Regions from separate parts of the Mus musculus genome. Here all the other regions are reported to be linked to region 1. The links are microRNA targets in miRTarBase. Many come from high-throughput screens and were not tested one by one. Region 1 holds a microRNA gene; each other region holds the end of a gene's coding sequence.
What was found. The annotated mature microRNA mmu-miR-467g reads UAUACAUACACACACAUAUAU and lies in region 1 at 2,891-2,911, opposite strand. An mRNA with a match to its seed (bases 2 to 7 or 8) in the 3' UTR can be bound and repressed. Matches are read on the target gene's strand: a 7mer-m8 pairs with bases 2 to 8, a 7mer-A1 pairs with bases 2 to 7 and ends in A, and an 8mer does both.

Region 1 (4,122 bases):
TTTTGTTGTTTCTTTCCTTGTAGAGACCTAAAGCCAGAGAATATCCTCCTTGATGATCATGGTAAGAGAGCCTTCCATGCTTAAGTGTAGGCTTGTCAGAAAAGCTAATGTGGACATAGTCAGTTAATAACGCAGACTGGAAACAATAACTAAAAGAAACTCTTTGGGATGTGTTCTTTAAAACACACACACACACACACACACACACACACACACACACACAAAAACCAATTGACATTGCCATCACCAGTACTTACACAAAAGCAGAGACTCCATATATTAATGATTAATGTTTTGAAGTAGGTGAAAATAAACCCCAAATGAGTATTTGCCCTCCTGTTTTTTGCTATTGACTCTATTTATTTTTATTCCTTAGCCCTCTAAACTTGGCGTGCTGCCCTCTATGCTGTCCCCTTATCATATATCAATTGTCACAGAGTGGGGGTGTAGAATGCTGTTATGGGGACTGGTCATGATGTGATAGCTCCTTATCAGCATCATGGGTGCCTCTGACATTGGTATCTCTGGATCTGAGAGTGAGCCCTATTGCTAGGATGCTGGTTGTATGTACACTAAGTAGGTTAGCAATTTGAGAAGGAGCTTATGATTAGTGATTCTTAATAGCTAAAAGGATCTTTCTGTGGAGTAGGAAACATAAACCAGAGCCAGAGTGATTCCTGGAAAGAATAGGCTAGTGTAGCTCATTACTGAAGGCAAACATGGGACATTATCAGACTTAGCTTTTATATTTACTTCTGCCACTGCTTTCTGCTCGTTACCTAACTTATGTACTGACCCCAATGAAGAAGAAAGGTGCTTGAAATTTCATTTATGGAATAATTAAGAAGTAATTTGACTGCTTCCAACTCTTAAACTTGTGATTTGTGCTGGGTTATGCTGCACTGGTATCTAGAGTTGGCATTGAAGGGAAGTGAACAAATTATATTGAAATACATTGAGTAGTTTACTAGGTGTCTTATGAGGGTAAGTCTAAATCCTATGATAGGGGTCCTTAGAAGAACACTTTCCATAATTAGTTACTTTCATAGGACTGTAGCCAACATTTATGCCTTCCTATACCCAAAACATTTGAACAGTACAGTTCTCTAAGTGAAGTAGCTTAACTGATAGTTATGAGTAAATAATAAATATGGTTCCTCTGGTTTTTATCTAGTGGTGATTTACTGTTAAAGGGCTTCTTTAGGTATAAATATAATTTCTTGCTGTTAGTGAAACTCAGTGTGCTATATGAAAGTACATTACATATGTAAAAGTTAAATATAATTTTTAGATATTGCTATTTTTAATACATTTTTGTGTGTTTTTATCACTAGGGATAGAATCACAAGCCTTATATATCATATACAAGGGTTTTATTACTGAGGTATATCCCCAGCCCTCATCAATACGTTTTAGATGGACTTTGCCTCGCAGTTATAAATTGTCACTAAAATGTTACTTTTCCCAATGATCTGTACTTTGTGTGTGAACCTGCACAGGACACATCCGAATTTCAGATCTTGGTCTAGCTATGGAAGTCCCAGAAGGGGAGATGGTACGAGGAAGAGTTGGTACTGTTGGCTACATGGGTAAGTGAAAGATGACTTTGGTGGACCTTATCCATACCTTCTAGGTGTCCTAGGGCTTAGAACCTAGAGGGAAGACTTAGCTTTTAATTTACTTTAAGTGTATGAACCTCATTAAGCCATAACAATAATGCTACATTAAAACATTAATTTAAAAAATATTTATATTACATTTATTTATTATTATGTGCATGTATCTGTACATATGAGTACCTAAGGGAGTGCATGTAAAAGTCAGACAACAATTCAAGTGGGTCAGTTCTCTGCTTTCACAAAATTCAATTAGTCAGGCTTGAAGGCAAGCACTTTTACCCATTGAGCCATCTTTCCTGCCCCTAAAATAGCACTTAATAAAGCTAATTATCACTCTGATACTTTATAAACAAACACAACAATTCAGTCTTCCTGTTGGAAAACAACAATTAGCTCTAAGTTTAATTAAAAAAACAAAACAAAACAAGATTTTGGGGGGTCAGGGGAAGCTGGGCATGGTGATCTATGGGATTAAAGGTGAGCACTACCACACACATCTAATAGACATCTCTCCCCTGCCTTTATTGTTATTTTGAGACAGGGTTTCTCTGTGTAGCCCTGGCTGTCCTGGAACTTACACTGTCGACCAGGCTGGCCTGGAACTCTGTCTCTGCCTTCTGACTGCTGGGATTAAAGGCTTGTGCCACTATCTCTGGCTTCTTTCCTTACTTTTATTAAACAGATTCTTTTCTCATACAGTATAATTTAAATACAGTTGAATACAGTTCCCTTCCCTCTGCTCCTCCCACTTGTTCCCCACTCTTCTCCATCCAGATATACTACTCCCTGTTTGTCTCTCATTAGAAAAGAACAGGCTTCTGGGAGATAACAAAACATAACAAAACAAAATATAATAAGATAAAATGAAAACTATCATATTGAAGTTGGACAAGCTAAGCCAACAGAAAAAAATGAAAGAGGCCCAAGAGAAGGCACAAGAATCAGAGACCCACTTGTTTACATATTCATAAATTTCATAAAAGTACTAAACTGAAAACTTTTATTTATATATATGCATATGTGCATGTATTTATTTATATATTTATAAATATATAAAAGTTATATATTTATATATATTATATATATTCCCCCGCAAAATGCTGGGACTAGATATCATCCAATTGAGTTGTCAACTGAAAGAGTATCATGGAAATCCCTAACAACCCAGGCTGTTACCAAGACAGTAGGTTGCTCTCCACAAACTGACAACAAGGCCTCATTACATTCATATATATACATGAATATACATATATATATATATACATGAATATATATATGTGTGTGTATGTATATATACATATACATGTGTATGTATGTATATATATGTATATATATATACACACACACATATATATATATGCATGCACAAGACCTGGTGCAGACCCATGTAGGCCTTGTGATTGATTGCTGCTTTAATTTCTGTGAGTTCATATGAAATTTGCCCAGTTGTTTTAGAGAACCTTGTTCTCCTGGTGTCCACTCTCTCTTCTGATTCCCCTATTCCTCTGCCTCCTCTTCTGAGGGGTTCTCTAAGCTCTCAGGGGAGGGATTTTATGGAGATATCTGGTTTAGTGCTCTCTCTCTCTCTCTTCTCTCTCTCTCGCTCTGTGTGTGTGTGTGTGTGTGTGTGTGTGTGTGTGTGTGTGTGTGTGTGAGAGAGAGAGAGAGAGAGAGAGAGAGAGAGAGAGAGAGATTTGGCTCTTTGCATTTATTGCCATCTGCTGTAGGAAAAAGCCCTTGTGGTGATGACTGAAAGGCACTGAACTGTGACTATAGCAGAATATCATTAGAAGTCATGTTATTGTTACTAATTTTTTTGACCAGTGATATTTGGTTATACTCTAGGTTTCTATGATATCTAGACTCTGGTTCTTGATGACACAATCAGTGTTGGGTTTGGGTATGGCTATGTAATAGGCCTTACGTCAAATCAGACATAGGCTGATTACCCCCACAGAGTTTGTGTCACCATTGTAGATCTAAGGATTTGTGGTTGAGTTGCTGTTTGCTTTTCTCTTTTGGTACCCTGCAGAATACTTTCCTATGTCATAGGCATTATAAAATGGGAGCAAAGGTCCTATGTAGGCATCAGATTGATCTTTCCATTTTCAATGAGTTGTGTAGGTATTGTCTTCAGCAATGAGCCCTTGTCAATTTGTGGAGAGCAACCAATTGTCTGAGTAACAGCCTGAGTTGTTTGGTGATTTCCATGGGACCTTTTTAGCTAACAGCTCAACTGGATTATACCCAGTCCCAGCACTGGAAGCTTCATTTAGTGACAAGACATGGCAATTAAGAGTTCTGACTCCCTCATTATTTGGAGACTTCATTTGGATTGCCTTCATATAGTTAGTTTTTACTGCACTAGATTTCCATACTGCCCCACAAATAATCTCCAATTCTTAATGTCTTTCCCCTTGATAACTTTCTTCTATCCCATCTTCCCTGTCCCTTTTCCATATGATCCTCCCATTCAACCTCCCAACCCCTGATTCCAGTCCAC
Region 2 (4,122 bases), not on the chromosome of region 1:
TCCACACACAAACTGCATGCAAACACACTATATATAATGATACGACATGGACTGGTGAGATGGCTCAGTATATAAATGTGTTTGCCACTACGCTTGACAATCTGAATTTAATCCCTTGGAATCCACGTGGTAGAAGGGGAAAAACCAACTCCCAAAAGTTGTCCACTGAGTCCCACAGGTACTCACACACATGCTCACACACATGCACAGAGAAATAAATTATAAATAAACAAATGTCATAATATACAAAACACAAACACCTCACATAGATACCACACGTATCCCACAAGCAACACACATGCCACATGTACAGACACCCCAGGCCCCAATAACTCTGTTGCTTATTCCAGAGAGCACTCGATACATGAGAATTGAACTGTTTGAAAATAAAAAAGGAACACCCTCCCTTCCCCACTCCCACCACCTCCCAGTATGTGAGAAATCAGAAGAGGCTTATGTGGTCTGTCATGGACAATCTTTGTGGTTTCTTTCACCCTAGAAGCTTTTACATCTAGTAAACAACAGAGAAATTCTAGGCATGGTCAGAAGGTTTTTGAAATAAGGTGGCTCCTTCCAAGGGTATCCCTCTACCCCCAGTTCTTTGCAAGTTTCTCACAGCATATGTATGTAGTTAGTTTTGCATTGGGGGAAAGGCTCAGATAAGCCCTGGTGAGCCATGAACCCCAAGGGCTCCCCCAGATCCCTTCAGGTGTACCCACAGAGTCACTTCACTACATTCCCTCCTTATACAGCAGAAGTGGGCTCTGGGAATACCCAGTGTCTTGTCTTTAAGCACAAGACACAAGCCAGCTTCTTCTCCCTGGCATCCCCGGATGCCATCTTTCCTTGCCCTCTGCTGCCCTGATGCTTCAGTTGGCCTTGGGTGGGAGGCCTGCTTCTCCAGACCCTCCCTGGGTCAGGGCAGTCCCAAGTCTTGCAAGCAGTGTGCCTACCTTGACTGGGTCCTGGCTTGAGGGCTGGAGGGCTGGGTAGTTGGAACACACAGCGGGGAGCCACTGGCTCCTGGGCTTACTCTATCTGGCTCCCTGATCACAGCCCCTTTTATGAAGTCTGAATGAGTGACGTCTCCAAGCATAATCCCACCTCTGCCCTCCCGGACCCTCCTCAGGGCTCCACGCCCTGCCTCTGGCTTCTGCCTCCAGGCTCTCAAGTCTGGAGCCAGCGATTTCTTCGCCCCCAGAAATCACCAAGACTGCTTTCATAAGCTCACCAATTCTTCCATCATCTCTAGCCTCTTGACACCCCCTCCCTCACAGCGGGGGACTCATTCCACCCCAAACAACGAAGAGAAAGTGGCTGAGCAGTGTGTATATGTGAAATGTCTTGTCCTTCTCTTCCAACACACACACACACACACACACACACACACACACACACACACACTGAAGTAAATTTGATGACGACACAGGCTGGAGGAGGAGGAGCAAGGCACAGTCTGACCCAGAGGCTCCTCAGTGCCCACATGAAAGAAAGCCAGGTCAGATTGGCCTCCACCAGAGGTGGCTCCTGTACTGTGAGCTGAGACCGGGGGTGGTGCCCAGGGTTCTCCTCCCCTCCCTTTCCCACTAATTACTGAGCATCTGCAGACACAGGGGTTTGACAAGCATGTGATATGACACGGCCAGATGTGCTGGGCAGTTATATAAGCAGCTGGCTGTTAGGAAGGAGGGCAAAGCTGGTCATAGCAGCCCACACATGTAATTCTACCTCCTGGGTGGTTGAGACGGAAGGATGGTAAGTTTAGGCCAGTCTGGGATGCCCAGAGAGCTCTAGACCAGGATGGGTAACAGAGTGAGAGCTCGTCTCAGAGTCAGGCATGGTGGCACATTCCTCCAATCACAGCACTTGGGAGGTATAAGGCAGGCGGAGCTTTGAGTCCATGGACAGCCTGTTCTACATAGTGGGGGCCTCTCTCAAAAATAAAATAATTATAATAATACAGAACGAAGGGAGGGAGAGGGAATGGCTATTTTGTATTTGCTGTTACTGAGCTGGCTTTGAGACAGCAGATGTGGAGAGTGGGTAGCTCTCAGTGCTTGAAGGGCAGAAACAGGCTTCCCCACCATACATAGATCATATACACACACACACCTTAAGGGCAGGAGCAAGCCTCTGTATCATTCATATATGTATGTGTATATGTGTATATATATAGATATACACATATACACATATATACATAAATACATATATCATATATACCTTAAGGGCGGGAACAGGCCTCCCTATCATATATACATCATATATATACACCTGACACCTACTCCACTGCTAGGTGTAAACAGAAGGGGCTCAATAGATGCTCACAGTGACTCTGGTCTTTCCTTTTCCTTTCTTCCTTCGAGGTTTTTGTTGTTGTTGTTGTTTGGATTTGATTTGATTTGATTGATTTGAGACAGGGGCTTGCTGTAGCCTTGTCTGGCCTTGAGCTCGGAGATGTTTGATTCTGCTTCCCAAGTGTTGGGATTACAAGTGTGTGCTACCAAGGCCTGGCCTATGCTCTTTCTTCCGTCTACATGGTTAAGCCAGTCTACTGCATCATACATATAATCCTACATTCAGGACAATTGAGGCAGGATGATTGTGAGTTCCAGGCCAACCTAAGACCTTGTTTCAGAAAAACAAAAGAAAAGAAAATCTCTTTTTACCATGAGATCAGGGGCTCCCCCAGAACGAGGACCAGCTCCTGTGAGGCTGGATTCTCTGAGTGGCACCACCCATCCCCAGCACAAGGCTGTTACTGCTCCAACTCTATCTGTTGTGCCCTGTGGGGGAAATGGTCACCTCATGGCTGCGGTAGTCTTCCTGATGCTACGTGGGGCCGGTTCCCATAGTTGCCTAATGTTAACTAAGGCTTAGAGTCACATCAAACCCTTCAGGATGTTCAGTGCCAGCATGAACCATGGACCAAGGACAGGGTCTGACTCTTAGCGCTTTGGTAGCATCTTGTGGGATCAGGGTTGAGGGTGGTGTTGCAGGCCTGCCCTAAGGCTGGGATGGATACCTCAGGCTGCAGACATCAACGCCAAATCTCAGATACATTCACAGCTTGGGGATTTAATCTTCACTCTCCTGCAGAAAGTCAGGGTGGGAATTTTTTCGTCCAGCCCTAGATGGGTATCATGGCCAGGATCTCTGCTCCTGGCGGCCTCTTGAGATGACTCGAGGGTTTAAGATCGATCACTCAGCTCCATCTTTCTTCTGGACTTGGAGATGCCCGTGTGTCATGGTAAGTAAGTCAGTGCTGGGGAGGGGCTCATGAAGATAGCCCCCGTTTCCCTTCCAGCCCCCCCACCGACAGTCCAAGTTCAAGGCACTCGCCTGGGCACTTCAGACCATTGAGCTGGAGGAGCCCTGAAGCTTCTGGAACAGCTGTGGGAACCAAGAATCATTATTCCAGACAAAGAGTGGGAAGCAGACTCAATCTCCAGGCTATTACCCAGCTGGCCTTGAGATGCAGGCTTATGCTACGCTACTACTTGAGGAGAGTGGGGGGCGGGGTGTGCCCAGCTGGCAAGCGATCCAAGCCGTGTGCTCCGGCCCCTCCCTGGGTGTCTCAGTGTTCTCTTGTGAGGTACTTCAGAGATGGGTGTGGAGCCCAGAACAGGCTCTGCTCCCTGCTTTTTCTTGATGTCACCAGCTGCTATCTATGCCTGTAGCCCAGACTTAAGCAGGTATAGCAGAAATCTCAGGTATGTATTGGCTGGGTCACATAGAGTTTTTATTTCTTTGCTTGGGGAGCTATTAATGGCTGCCGCCTCTCCACCCATGCCTTAGCCATGGACTGGGGGTGGTGGTGGGATGGTAGGGGTGGGGGTGTCTCAAAGGATATGGGGGAGGGGTCTACTGCACCTAGGGTAGCACCTTAGTCAGCTGCACGTGCTCGCCCACCCCAGACACCACTGCCAAGCCTGAGATCTACTCACTGTGCTCAGGAAGGGGATGTTAAACGCACTGCCCAGGAAGCCAAAGACGACAGGGAAAAAGCCCCTAGGAATAGAAGAGAGGACAAGGGGTCAGTGGTGGCCTAGGAGAGGAGGGATAAGGCAGTTCCTACTCAAAGGCTCTCCTCTGAGAGCAGCCACTGGGCCCCGGGGCAGA
Region 3 (4,122 bases), not on the chromosome of region 1:
CTCCTGGAAGCATGGAAGAGCGAGCGATTCTTGGAGTCAAGGGGCAGAGAGACTGGGGTGAGCTTATGGGATCTCAGAGACCAGAGGCCTTGACCGTCTCCTTTGTACAAAGGGGAAGGCGTGACAGGGATGTCAACCAAGCAGAATCAGGTGAAAGCCCCTGGGCTTTCCCTCCTCCCAGGACTGCTCACACAAGTCCCACTCTGTCCTTTCCTCCTCTAAACTTGCTGTCACCTAGCACCTGCCCCGGGGGTCCACAGGCTTAAAGTATGGGAGAAACGGGCAGCCCGTGGGCAACCTGGTCTCCGAGTCCTTGTGTGCAAAAGAAGGAACAGCCTATCCATCCAGCCTGTCCCCAGTGTGAGCATCCCTCTTCAGCGGGTTCTCCTCCTCTTTTGTAGACAGATCCCTCAGAGTAAGGTGTGATATCTCATAAAAATGGCCTCAGAGGACTGCTTCCACCGTGGAAGGACACAGCAAGAAGATACAAAGACCAGAAACCAGGCCTTTCCAGATACTGGATCTCTGGGCACCTTGATCTTGGACTCCCCAACCTCCAGAACTCTGAGAAATAAATGTTGTTTATAGGCCATTCAGTCTATGGTAATTTGTTACAGTGGTCCAAATAGACTAATACAACTTAATAGTTTAAAAAAAAATCCTTGTTCAATATTATGTGTGTGTGTATGTGTGTGTGTGTGTGTGTATGTTTGTTTGTGTGTTTGTGTGTGTATGTATATGTATGTACATATACATGCATGAATAATTCTGGAAATATACATTTTTTTGGAAAAACTATTAAACTTTATTATATGACATTTTTTACAAATCTGAATAAATAGGATAAAATTGTCCATAATACGATTTTTTTAAAAAAAGATATGCCTTTACAGCTGGCCAAAGGTAAAACAAAGTGACTCTGGAGTTGTGAATTATTTATCCCTAAGTGAGACACCTGTATCACACAGCAACCACCACCACCACCAAGCTCAGAGAACATCTAGGAAAAGCCTGGAAGATTGGCACAGATAATGTCTTCTGTGCATGACAGGGCCGCTGTACTCATAAATTCACAGCAACTGTTGTAGCCAGCACAAGACCTGCACAGATCAGTCTAGTCACCCTTAGTAGAGGAGCCATGTCTGTTGACGGCCACTAGAGGGGGCAGAGTCATCGTTCCTCAGTGGTGTGGCCCGTGGTGGGGTGCCAGTGCCCCAGTGGATGGTACTGCACACCCACGGGTGTATGGGCACACTAATTAGATTCAGTGGGTTATTTTTAAGAGAGAGAGGAATTGGGATTGAGAGGGAAGTGTGGAGAGGAATCAGGGGGACTTGGAGGGAGAAATGAGAGAGATGATCTAAATACATTTTGTTTGTGTATTAAAGTACTAGAGAATATATAAAATATGTGCGTGTGTGTGCACGCATGTGTGTGTGTGTGTGTAATTTCTTACATATTGCATATAGAATACAATGCATATATATGCCTGCTTTTCTGCAAACACCAAGTGTTCACAAGGCAAGGATGTCCATCCTGATCAACATCGTTCATATATAACTACAATCTAAACCCTCTAGAATTTGCAATCTCAATTAAGCTGTCGCCACAGGCACCGGCCATCCACAGCTTCCTGCTGTTTACAGGGTGTCATTTCATCATCCCATGCTATACAACGTGTCCTTGTGTGGAGAAACATGGCTTTACGATGAGAGGATTGAGGTGTTCTGGCTGAAATACTGCAGTTTGTCTGAACAACATTAAAAATGGGTAAACTGGGAGGGAGGCAGAGGCAGGTGGATTTCTGAGTTTGATGCCAGCCTGGTCTACAGAGTGAATTCCAGGATAGCCAGAGCTATACAGAGAAACCCTGTCTCAAAAAAATAAAAAAAAATAAAAATAAAAAAAAAATGGGTAAGCCAGGTATAGACTCCTCCTCAAGTGATGCAGGAAGCTGAAAGATACCACAAGGAAGGGCTTCTAGCCACACTAAGTAGACATTCATCTGTTTGCTCAAGCAGAAATTACAGAAGGGGAGAATGGGAGGCAGGCAGAAATGAGCTAAAATGTTTATTCTGGAATAAAGGAATCTAAGGATGTTGCAACCATGCAGGGAGTGTCAGTGTATGGACTTGGTTCTGAAAACTGCTTGAACTCATTTAAAAAATGTATCTTTAATCATGTGCATGTCTATGTGTCTGTGTAGAGGTGTGTGCCTGTAAGTGCAGATACCCAGAAAGGATAGAAGAGGGTATCAGATCTTCTTGGTCTGGAGTTAAAGAGGTTATAAACCACCCAGCATGGAGGATGGCAAACTAGAGTCCTCTGCAAGGGCAGTATGAGCTCTTAACTGCTGAACCATCACTCCAGCCCCACAAAGTCATTTTTAGAACAATAAGGAAAATAGAAAGCAAACACAGCCGGGCATGGTGGTGCACACCTTTAACCCCAGCACTCAGGAGGCAGAGACAGGCGGATTTCTGAGTTCGAGGCCAGCCTGGTCTACAGAGTGAGTTCCAGGACAGCCGGGGCAACACAGAGAAACCCTGTCTCAAAAACAACAACAACAACAAAAAGCAAACACAGAGGCAGATGATTAGGTGTGACAATGACAAATTCAGTTCTCCCCTTTCTTTCAGAGTTGATAGAGGGTTTTGCGATGTAGTCCAGGCTAACCTGGAACTTGGATCCTGCTAGCTGCACACCCTGGGTGCTGGGAATGTAGGAGTGCATCACCACACTCAACCTAAATGATCATATCTTAGAGACCCATACTGAAATATCTATGATGTGTTGGGTTGACTTGAAATTTTAAATTTCAAAAAAATAATAGTTTGGATGTACACAAGAAGAAATGTAAGATGTTCCTGTTGAGTTTGGAATGCACAGAGTTTCATAAAAAGGGTTACTGTTCTCCTGTATGTTTTTGGAATGGTGATAAAAAATGTTATAGCAAACAATGAGTTGGGTTTTTTTCCCAACTTAACAAAATAATCGAGTTCATATGGGGCAGTGAAAGACTGTGATGTAAGAGGTAACAATGTAAATTAGTAAAATTCATGGATACCAGAAGTCGCTTAAACATAATGTAGCTGTAACTCTTACAACAGAAGCACTGGATCACAAATAAGGAGGAGGAGGAGGAAGGGGAGGAGAAAGAGGAGAGAGAGGAGAAAGAGGAAGAAGGGCAGAAGGAAGAGGAAAATGAAGGAGAGGATAATGAGGAAGAAGAGGAGGAGGAAGAGGAGGAGAAATAATGAAAAAAGAACAAAAAATTCCCAGCAACAGCATGGATGATGTAATAGTAAACTTCACTTGTCAACCTGACACAACCTAGAATCACCTGCAACGTCTCAGTGATGGACTGATTATCTATGTAAGGCTGACAGGTGGACACGTCTATGGTGGGTTATCTTATTTACATTATTGATATGGGAAGACCCAGCCCACTATGGGCAGTACTATGAGTCCCGAACTGTGTAAGGGCGGAGCAATAAAGCTGAGCACAAGGAAGCAAGTATGTATGTGTTTCCCTCTGTTCCTGACTGCAAATGTTATGTAACGCATCTGTCTTGACTTTTCCATCCGCATGCCTTGACTGTCCCACGATGGACTGTAAACTGTGAGCTAAAAAAAATTGAGAAATGGCTCAGCCATTTAGAGTACTTGTCCAGGCAGAAAACCCAGGTTCAAGTCAATTTCCAGCCCCTGTGGAGTATATCACAACCTCCTGTAACTCCAGGTCCAGGGAATCCTGTACCTTCTTCTGACTCCTCAGGCATTGAGGTCACGTGAAGTACATACATTCACACCAGCGAAACATGCATCTGCATAAAATAAAGATAAAGAAACCTTTTTATAAAGAGAGAAAGGTCAACACAGTATCAAAGTACATACATTATATGCATCTATGGAAGTCTCATAGTGAAATCTTTTCATTCGTACAACTGAATGATATTCAAATAAAGGAAGCAGATATAAGTGGAAACGGTGATTTGATTATCCTAAAATTTAAATCTTTGGTACAAGTCCTCCTCCCCAAAAAGAAAGAGTCACTTGAAATAGAGAATTAGAATAATCATCATCACTTATCAAATGAATTCTGTTCTCAAAACTGGCTTA
Region 4 (4,122 bases), not on the chromosome of region 1:
TCCACTTCCTGTCTCCACAGAAGGAAGTACAGTGGTCTCTGCCCTTCATCGTGTTTGGAGCCACAGGCCTGACCTCAGGCCTCCTGAGCCTGCTATTGCCAGAGACTCTGAACAGCCCTTTGCTGGAGACATTTTCTGATCTTCAAATGTACTCATATAGGAGGTTAGGAGAGGAAGCGCTATCTCTACAGACCTTGGATCCTCCACAGGTATAGAGACACATGCTGTAACCATCTAGGTGCCCTTGGGTTTGATCCCCAGAACCATCTAAACCTGAGTGTGGTGGTACACCCCTGTAAACCTAGCACTAGAGAGGTAGAGACAGGAAGATCAGAAGGTGATCTCAGCTACTTAGAAAATTGGAAGCTAACTTGGTCTGCATGGGTCCCTGTCTCAAAACAACAGCAAAATTGCACTGTGAGTGCCTGGGTGGTAATTCTCATTAAGGCCTGTCATGATCACTTCTACAAGATCTCCTTTGCCATTGCAGCCCCTGGACAAGGTCAGCAGTGAGAGTGAGGAGGAGGAAGAGTTCTATGATGCAGATGAGGAGACCCAGATGATCAAGTGAAGAGCCCGCATTCCTGCCCAGAAGCAGAGCCCCATCATCCTTAGTGCCTCAGCTTCAGCACCAGAGATGTATTCAGCCCACACTGACGCTTTCCAGATGGGAGAGGCGGTGGAGGAGAGATTCCAAAAGGGAGAACTTGCTGCGTTGAGGGAGTCATTGCTGACTTGTTCGGGACTGGGGCTGAGCTCAGCACCACGCCTCTGGCTGCACAGCTCAGATCCACCTTGTAGGACTGGTGCCTCATGCTGCTACCCTTCCTCGGGACCTAAGAGCAGGTGTGTGAAACTGCTCGCACTTTAACTAGGGTTAGCCAGACCTTCCCCGAGATGTCATCTTCCTAGCAAGCATCCCTGTCACTTGCTTCTCCCCCACCAGGAATCTTCTGGTGCAGGTTGATGTGTACAGAGCTCCCAGCTTCCCATCAGCTCATTGGCTGGTTCCCAGCTCATTGGTTGCTGGTGCAGCTTGTGCCTTTAGTCTGTGCTCATTCACTAATAAAGGGCAGAATTAGCGGAGCATTTCTCATCAGAGGGCTGGCTGTGGCAGGGAAGCTCCCTTTGACGCTTGCGTCATGCGATTTTTTTCCCCCACTTGGATGCATTTGGGGACTGTTTTTCTTTGTGAGATTCTAGCATCAGCAATAACTTCAAAATCATGCCCAGCCAACGAGGAAACTTTACAGACTGAGGGTGGCGAGCAAGTGACACGCTAAGCACTTTGTAAATGACTTAAGAGGGGAGAGTCTCTCACAGTGTCGTCAGTGTGCAACAAGGGACATGCACAGCACACCAGGGCTGGACTCTGCCCTGCATCAGCCTCTACTGGTTATTTAAAAGGCAGGGTGGAGGGTTTTTTGTTTTTTAAGAAAATGGTGGGTTTTCATTGAGTGCTTCCGTGGATTTCCAAATGAATCATAACCTGTCTCTCACAAAACTTGAACACTCTCAAATGGCATATAAGCCAGGAGTCCACATGTGGGCAATCGATCAATCGATCACGCCCCGACCAGGGAAACGGCTGTGTGTTTAGGATTTCTGTGTCTGCTAATCTCTTGGGAGTAGAAAGCACACAGAGTAGAAAGGTGCTCTGTAGATGCCCCTGGAAACTGTGCAAGCCTGCATTCTTTGCCTCCAGCTATGTTCCTGGACTCCTCTGTGTTGTCTGGGCTTTTACTGTACTGGTCTGTTCCACTGTTAAATAATTTTTCCTTTGTGCCCTTGGGTATGGAGGAGCTGTTTCTACCAGTATGAGGAACATGCCTGGCCGGGATGCTGTGAAGACCCCATAGGTGATCCTGTGTCTAGCTGTCAGAAAGATTATAGAACTCCCTGCGACATCATATCCGCAAATTCCAGTAAAGGGTGTCCCACACTCCAAAGCACGAAGTCCTGCTGCTCTCCTCTCTGGGAAATGGAGGTCAGCTCTCCTTAGGAGAGGAAGAAAAGGACTTCCAGAAACTCTTGATTCTTGTCAAATAAAGTATTTAAAATAAAGCAGTAAATTTATATATATATATATGTATATATATATAAATTTTATATATATATATATATAAATGTTATTGAACTCTTTTTATATAATGTAACCTGTAGGAGTATTATTTTTAATATATCCCTACACAAGGTTGTTTCCCACCTCAATGGTTTTTGTTCCCAAATGAAAGACACACACACAACCTTTATATTTTAATATGCTTTAAGGAGCACAATAGCTGGTCAACTGCCTACCCTCCATGGTGTTAGACTCTACCTCCCACCGATAATTCCAAGTTACTACTTACTAGTTCCTATGTTCCATCTTGGCTGCCCCTGACCTTTACACGGTAGCTCTGCCTCTCTGGCCCTCACTCTCAGGCAGTGCTGCTCTGCTCTTCCTCCTCCTCCAGGTCCCAAGCCCTGGAAACCCCAATCCTCTTTCTTGTCTCCCCAACTATTAGCTGCTGGCATCTTTAATTACCAATCACAGTTAACTGGGGGCAGGTCCCCAGAAGCTACATGCAGACCCTCTTGTGCAAACAGTTTTGAGGGGATACAGTTAATATAGAATACAAAGAGCTACAATAACCCATCAGAGAAAATTTGGTACTAGAAGTTAGAAAGTGCATCCGTCAGTCTAGCTGCAGAAGAAGCAGGGCCATGGCTTTTTATTCATTCCCTGCTGCTGCTGAAGTTCCTGCCGCTTCTGGCTAAGCAAGTGAACTCCAGGTAATTCCCAGCCTAGAGGTAGAAGGACAGACCACAGGGTGAATTACGTGGCAAGTAATAAGGCCCGGTTGGCTGTCAGCTGCTCTTGTTGGATAAATTATTACATTTTTCTTCTCCCTGGGTAGTCCTCTAAGCACAGTTTAATAATTATTTCTCTGCCTTTGTAAAGATGAATTTTATTCCCTATGATGGCTGCTAATGAGTATTGATGGTACAAAGCCACAGAAGTCTTACTTGGTAGGTAGCCTATTTTGCTTGTACAGATAGTCTGTTAAAAGCATCTTTAAAGAAACAGTAAGGATGTCTGAAAAGTCATAAGGTATCATACTACTAACTACCTAAAATACCTAAATACATGGAAATCAATGAATAAATAAACACATGGAGTTTAAATAAGAATTTCCCCTTTGAGCTGACAAGAGTCGTAACTAACAAGTCCAACACCAGTCTGAGAAAAATTTGGGGGAGAACATTAACCTTAATTTTTAACCTTAAAAGTGACAAGAATGTTCAAAGCTACCGTGCTTCAGTTTCAGATGCTGTGTTGAAACCACAGCCACAGCATGGCTTCTGGTCTTCAGCGGCTCCAGAGCAAGGGAGATGTTCTTCAATTCTCAGCATGAACACAAAATACAAGAAGAGTATAGTATCTGGGGCACTGGCGGGTGACTGTGGCCAGGATAGGCACCGTCCAGTTTAGTGCACAATTTATACTCTTAGTGCACACATGTTCAAGTAACTGTCATGTAAAATTTTGGAACTGAAATTCCACTTTTCAGTAGGACTTCTTCCTACAGGTAGTTGATCGTTGGTCCTTAGTTTGCAAAGGTAACAAAGATCAGGGTATTTTATTAACTAAATAAAACCAGGAATTAGGGAGCTGGAGAGATGGCTCAGTGGTCCTGAGTTCAATTCCCAGCAACCACATGGTGGCTCACAACCATCTGTAGTGAGATCCCATACCCTCTTCTGATGTGTCTGAAGACAGCTACAGTGTACTAACATCAAATAAATAAATCTTATAAACAAACAGCCAGGCGTGGTGGCGCACGCTTTTTATCCCAGCACTCGGGAGGCAGAGGCAGGCGGGTTTCTGAGTTGGAGGCCAGCCTGGTCTACTGAGTGAGTTCCAGGGCAGCCAGGGCTACACAGAGAAACCCTGTCTGGAAAAAACAAAAAACAAAAACAAAAACAAAACAAAAAACAAACAAACAGGAATTAATGCCTGCCCTTTGTGAATTTACTAAAGGATCACAGAATACAGTCCTTTTGTTCATATAGAGTACATTAGGAGTACAGTAACAACTTTGACAAATGAAGAACCTACTAGAAGTCACCAGTGATCTG
Region 5 (4,122 bases), not on the chromosome of region 1:
CCTTCATTTATATTTCCTAGTGTTACCACAAGTGTCTCTAACTCAGATTTTATAACCTTTATAACAGACATCATCTCTAATTGCCTTCTCAGAGTCTCAAGGGTGTTTTGAATTTCCTGTTAACCAATCTAAAAATAATCTCTTAATTTTTTTTTTACTTTAAAACTTGTGATTTTTACCCCCCCCCAAAAAGGTTTTAAAGGTTCCCAAAGACATAGTTAACAGATTTCCCCCATTCTTCCCAAACAGAGAACTCCCTCAACTTTATAGCATTAAATGCACTTTGGAAAGTTCCTTGCAGTTTTATTATTCCAGGTGCACTGCTACCATAAGAGGCCTTTGTGGTCCATGGCTATAAATGTCATTTGTTCCCATTAAGCAAATGTATTATATAGAAGATGATTGTCTAAATTTATGGTGACTATTCTAGAGGGCACTAAATCGGGAAATATATCAAAATACCTATTTTAAAAAGTCAATCCCCATAATTTGAAGACTGGTGCCCCCCCCCCAAGCTCAATATAATATAAGCATGTTATATGACTGTGAGATCCATCAAAAGAGATGCAAGCAAGCAAACTTGGCAGCTATCAAAAAAAAAAAGCAAATAAAATGCAGAGCTTTGTCAATTACTTGGTTATCATAAGTGAAATCTGAAGAAGTGATTTATTGATGTTTCATCCTATATAAGTCCATATTCTTTCTCTCCCTTCATCTCTTTTCCTCTAGAGAACAAGAGTCTCTCTTCATTGCCCTGGCTTGCCTTGAACTCTTGGGCTTAAGTGATCTTCCAGCCTCTCCCCTCCATGAAGTTGAGATTACAGCATGGAGCGATTGTCCAAGTCTTTTTCCTTTTTAAATTAACAACAAAGGAAAGCACTGAGAAGATAAATGAACAGAAGTGATTTATTATATCAAATGTGCTTAGCAAAAATAGGAACTTGAAATAAGTAAAGGCATCCTGTCTCTTTTCAGTGGAAATGGAGTTTACATATTAGTTCCTGAGTTTGAAAATAATTTAGTGCCCTCTAAATTTAGTAATATTGTATTCAATCCTTTAAGAGAGAGGTCTGTAGACTTCATTTTATACTTTGCAACGCACCGCATTGCCACCCTTGCACAGTGCCAAAATTAAGGTGGAGGAGCCATTTTGACCTTGATCACATGGGACATATGGAGACCACATGGGACATATGGCAGCCTCATAAAACCTGTTCTGCTTTGGGCCATTGACCCTTAGCTAGGAAGACTTGAAACAAGAATAATGCCCCCTTGAGGGTGAGTATGTAGGGATGTGTGTGTGTGTGTGTGTGTGTGTGTGTGTGTGTGTGTGTGTGGTATCTTTTGTCCCTCACCCATGGGCTGACCTAAGGCTCTGACTTTTCAGTCTCTCTTCTTTCTGTAGCTGAATGGTGAGAGTAGCTATGCCAAGTACTAAGCTGGACAGTGCTACTGACACGTTGGCCAGTGGGAGCCTGTAAAGAAGTGAAGGAGGAGGGTGCAGTCTGGGGACAGGGATGCCTGCAATGGTGGAGGACACAGAGACAGAAGCAGGCACAAGACCAACACTCCAATTTCTTTAACTCCAAAGAGTCAGCATCTATGGCTGCATCTAGGACCCTCACTTGCTCATGGTGCTGCCTCCAGAGTTCTGAGGCCTCGCCCCATCTGGAAACATAAGAAAGCTCCAGAAAGTCTCAAAGCATGGGGGCTTCAAACCCGTCTACAGTGCCCACTGTGGCTGGGCTCTCACAGGAAGCCACCCTCACCCCAGACATGCTCCTCCTGCTTTTGTTGTGTCAGGTGAGCACTTGCGGATGCCCTCAATGGTGTGCTTCAACTTGAACCCAATATTTTACTCCAGGCATCCATGAAGATAGTGATGGTATGGCAGAGGATCTTGATAAACATGCCTTGAGACGGTGGGCTGCATTATTTCCAATCATGGAGGCCTCCCCCACACCCATGCGTGCTCTTCTCATTTGCATCCTCTCCCTTGCTCATCCCTTGCTTCACTGATAAAAGTGATAGTGTGTATAAAAACGGGCACCCTTTCCAGAACTGTATACTGAGACCTTGTCTTGAAAGTAAATACGCAAACCATCATGATCTAGAAAATATTTATTGATTAATTTTCTTTCTGTAATCCAAGAAATGAACAGAATGCACAAGATACAGTAAAATGCACTTTTCCCGTTTCAAATAAATATCTTCTACTCTTGTAAAAAAATTAATATTCTGCATCATTTGCTACAGTGTATTAATTGATGAAAGAAATCAAGAATTTTCTCTGGTTAGGCTACCACTTATTTTAGAGATTCCTATGAGCATCTCTTCAGAGAATGTTGTTTCTCTGTAAAATTACATCAACTTCAAGTTGTTGCTTCTTGATTGCAAAAGAAATACATGAAAACATTAAAAATAAAAACGAAAAACACTCTTTGACAAAGTGTTTTTTGGGAGGGGGGAAAAATCTGAACTTTTGATGAATCAACTATGTGTAAATTCTGTAGTTAATACTTCCGGCAGCCAGACTTACAGAGATTCCTATGTGTCAAACTGGTAATTTCCAAAATTAGTGGTTAACAACTTAAATTAACAGTTATAGATATAGTACAGAACCAAGACGGAATTTAAAAGTTCTGTTGCTGAAAGAGACAAAAGTAATGGTACTGTGTAAGACAATTTTGCCATTTTCAAATATTGTTTTTCATAATATTATAGGAACTGAAATCTACTGAATTATACAGACACGGCACAGACTTATATACATATATATCCCTGATAAGTTTAAGACAACATGTTAGCTCTTACAAGTGTTATTAATAAGATTATTTTAGTAACCAACAAAAATCATATTTAGGTAGTCACCAATCTTGAAAGATTTTTGCATATAATCAAATAACCATCAGAACAATACATCACCAGCTAATAAAGGTCTTTAGCACTAAATCCCTATGTTAGCAGTCAGTGGATAGTTTATAGGTTAGTTAGAGGAGTCAGTTAACCTTCATATCAGCTCCAGTGCCACCATGACGGTTCATTTCTGTGAATGGATGCAGAAATGCTGGTCAAACTGTATCACTGCAAAACATAATTGTGCTCAGAAAAAAAGAAAAGAAAGAAAGCACACACAGTTGTTATAATGTCTGGGTTCGGCATTTTGAAGGGCACCAATTATTGTCTGTGTATTACCATGTGGAACCTTTGTTTTAAAGAGTGGAGAAATTCTTAGACATTCCTTTTCAGAATATTAATATGTCTAAAAATTTCTGAAATAGATAACTGTGTACCCCAAAACCCACTAGTCCCACAAGTTTGTGATTTCCTTCTTTGACATTCTTCATAATTCTTCCATCTCAAAATGTGTATTGAAGCTGTTTGCCATTGATGTATGCTCAAAGATCCTTGAAAGACTTGGTTTTAACAGTTCCACAGAATGACATGACAAGTGCTGAGACGTATCATTTTTCAGAGATAGCATTTGGTCTGTTCCAGGCTCCCTTCTATCATAATACAGAGCCCAGAGCAGAGTAATGGTGAGAATCATGGCCAGGATTTGTGTCACACCAATGGAGATTCCCAGAAACCTTAGAACTTGCAATTGTTTGGTTCCTCTCAAAAAGGAATACATCTTCTTCCCACAACCCTGTAAAAAAGGAAAAGAAAAGAAAAAGAAATAACATAATCAGTGTTAAATTGTCAAAAATAGTGATTTGAAAAAAAGCACAATCTAATCAGTTAGTTAAACTTAGGAAATTTAAAAAACTGACCATTAACCAAGATGTGGTGCTCACCTTGAAAGGCCCTGGTAGCTCATACTGTCCAGCATCTTTCTTTTATTTTCCATACACAGGCACTGGTATAAAACCCAGTGTCTAGAGAACAACTTATTAAATAGTTTGTAATGGTGACTGATTTTTACTTGAGTAACATAATATAACCTTGGGTATGTAGGTTTTTTAATAGCTACGCCAATAAAATATTTACTTATAATAAATCATAAAGAAATGTATTTTAAAACAGTTCTTTGAGACTAGAGAGGTATCCCATCTGTGAAGAGCACTTGCTACACAATTAAGACCAGAGTTCGATCCCAGCACCCACAAAACAAGCCATATG

Region 2: the mRNA of Golt1a is a reported target of mmu-miR-467g. Seed matches in the 3' UTR shown: 7mer-m8 at 2,562-2,568, 7mer-A1 at 2,255-2,261, 7mer-m8 at 2,205-2,211, 8mer at 2,196-2,203 and 7mer-m8 at 2,086-2,092.
Region 3: the mRNA of Wfdc12 is a reported target of mmu-miR-467g. Seed matches in the 3' UTR shown: 8mer at 732-739 and 7mer-m8 at 738-744.
Region 4: the mRNA of Slc22a15 is a reported target of mmu-miR-467g. Seed matches in the 3' UTR shown: 8mer at 2,087-2,094.
Region 5: miRTarBase lists Tspan12 as a target of mmu-miR-467g. Seed matches in the 3' UTR shown: 8mer at 2,767-2,774.

Annotation. Positions count from the first base shown.
Region 1 is chr5:34,729,982-34,734,103 of GRCm38, forward strand. Mir467g (microRNA 467g) reads right to left here and starts at 2,991; the gene lies at 2,872-2,991. It overlaps Grk4 (G protein-coupled receptor kinase 4), which reads left to right. Exons shown (of 16, transcript NM_019497.2): 10 at 24-61; 11 at 1,500-1,589.
Region 2 is chr1:133,320,880-133,325,001 of GRCm38, reverse strand. It overlaps Golt1a (golgi transport 1A), which reads right to left. Exons shown (of 5, transcript NM_026680.4): 4 at 3,948-4,011; 5 at 1,976-3,393. The coding sequence ends at 3,352. It also overlaps a transcript of Kiss1 not described here. Among named protein-coding and RNA genes, the nearest start is that of Kiss1, 4.3 kb to the left of the region's middle.
Region 3 is chr2:164,185,963-164,190,084 of GRCm38, reverse strand. It overlaps Wfdc12 (WAP four-disulfide core domain 12), which reads left to right. Exons shown (of 3, transcript NM_138684.2): 3 at 402-854. The coding sequence ends at 426. A730032A03Rik (a long non-coding RNA gene) reads right to left here. Exons shown (of 4, transcript XR_003954086.1): 2 at 3,761-3,827. Among named protein-coding and RNA genes, the nearest start is that of Wfdc12, 2.5 kb to the left of the region's middle.
Region 4 is chr3:101,856,888-101,861,009 of GRCm38, reverse strand. Slc22a15 (solute carrier family 22 (organic anion/cation transporter), member 15) reads left to right here. Exons shown (of 12, transcript NM_001039371.2): 11 at 21-209; 12 at 491-4,122. The coding sequence ends at 571. Among named protein-coding and RNA genes, the nearest start is that of Mab21l3, 23 kb to the right of the region's middle.
Region 5 is chr6:21,769,288-21,773,409 of GRCm38, forward strand. It overlaps Tspan12 (tetraspanin 12), which reads right to left. Exons shown (of 9, transcript NM_173007.4): 9 at 2,104-3,649. The coding sequence ends at 3,344. Among named protein-coding and RNA genes, the nearest start is that of Gm30270, 81 kb to the right of the region's middle.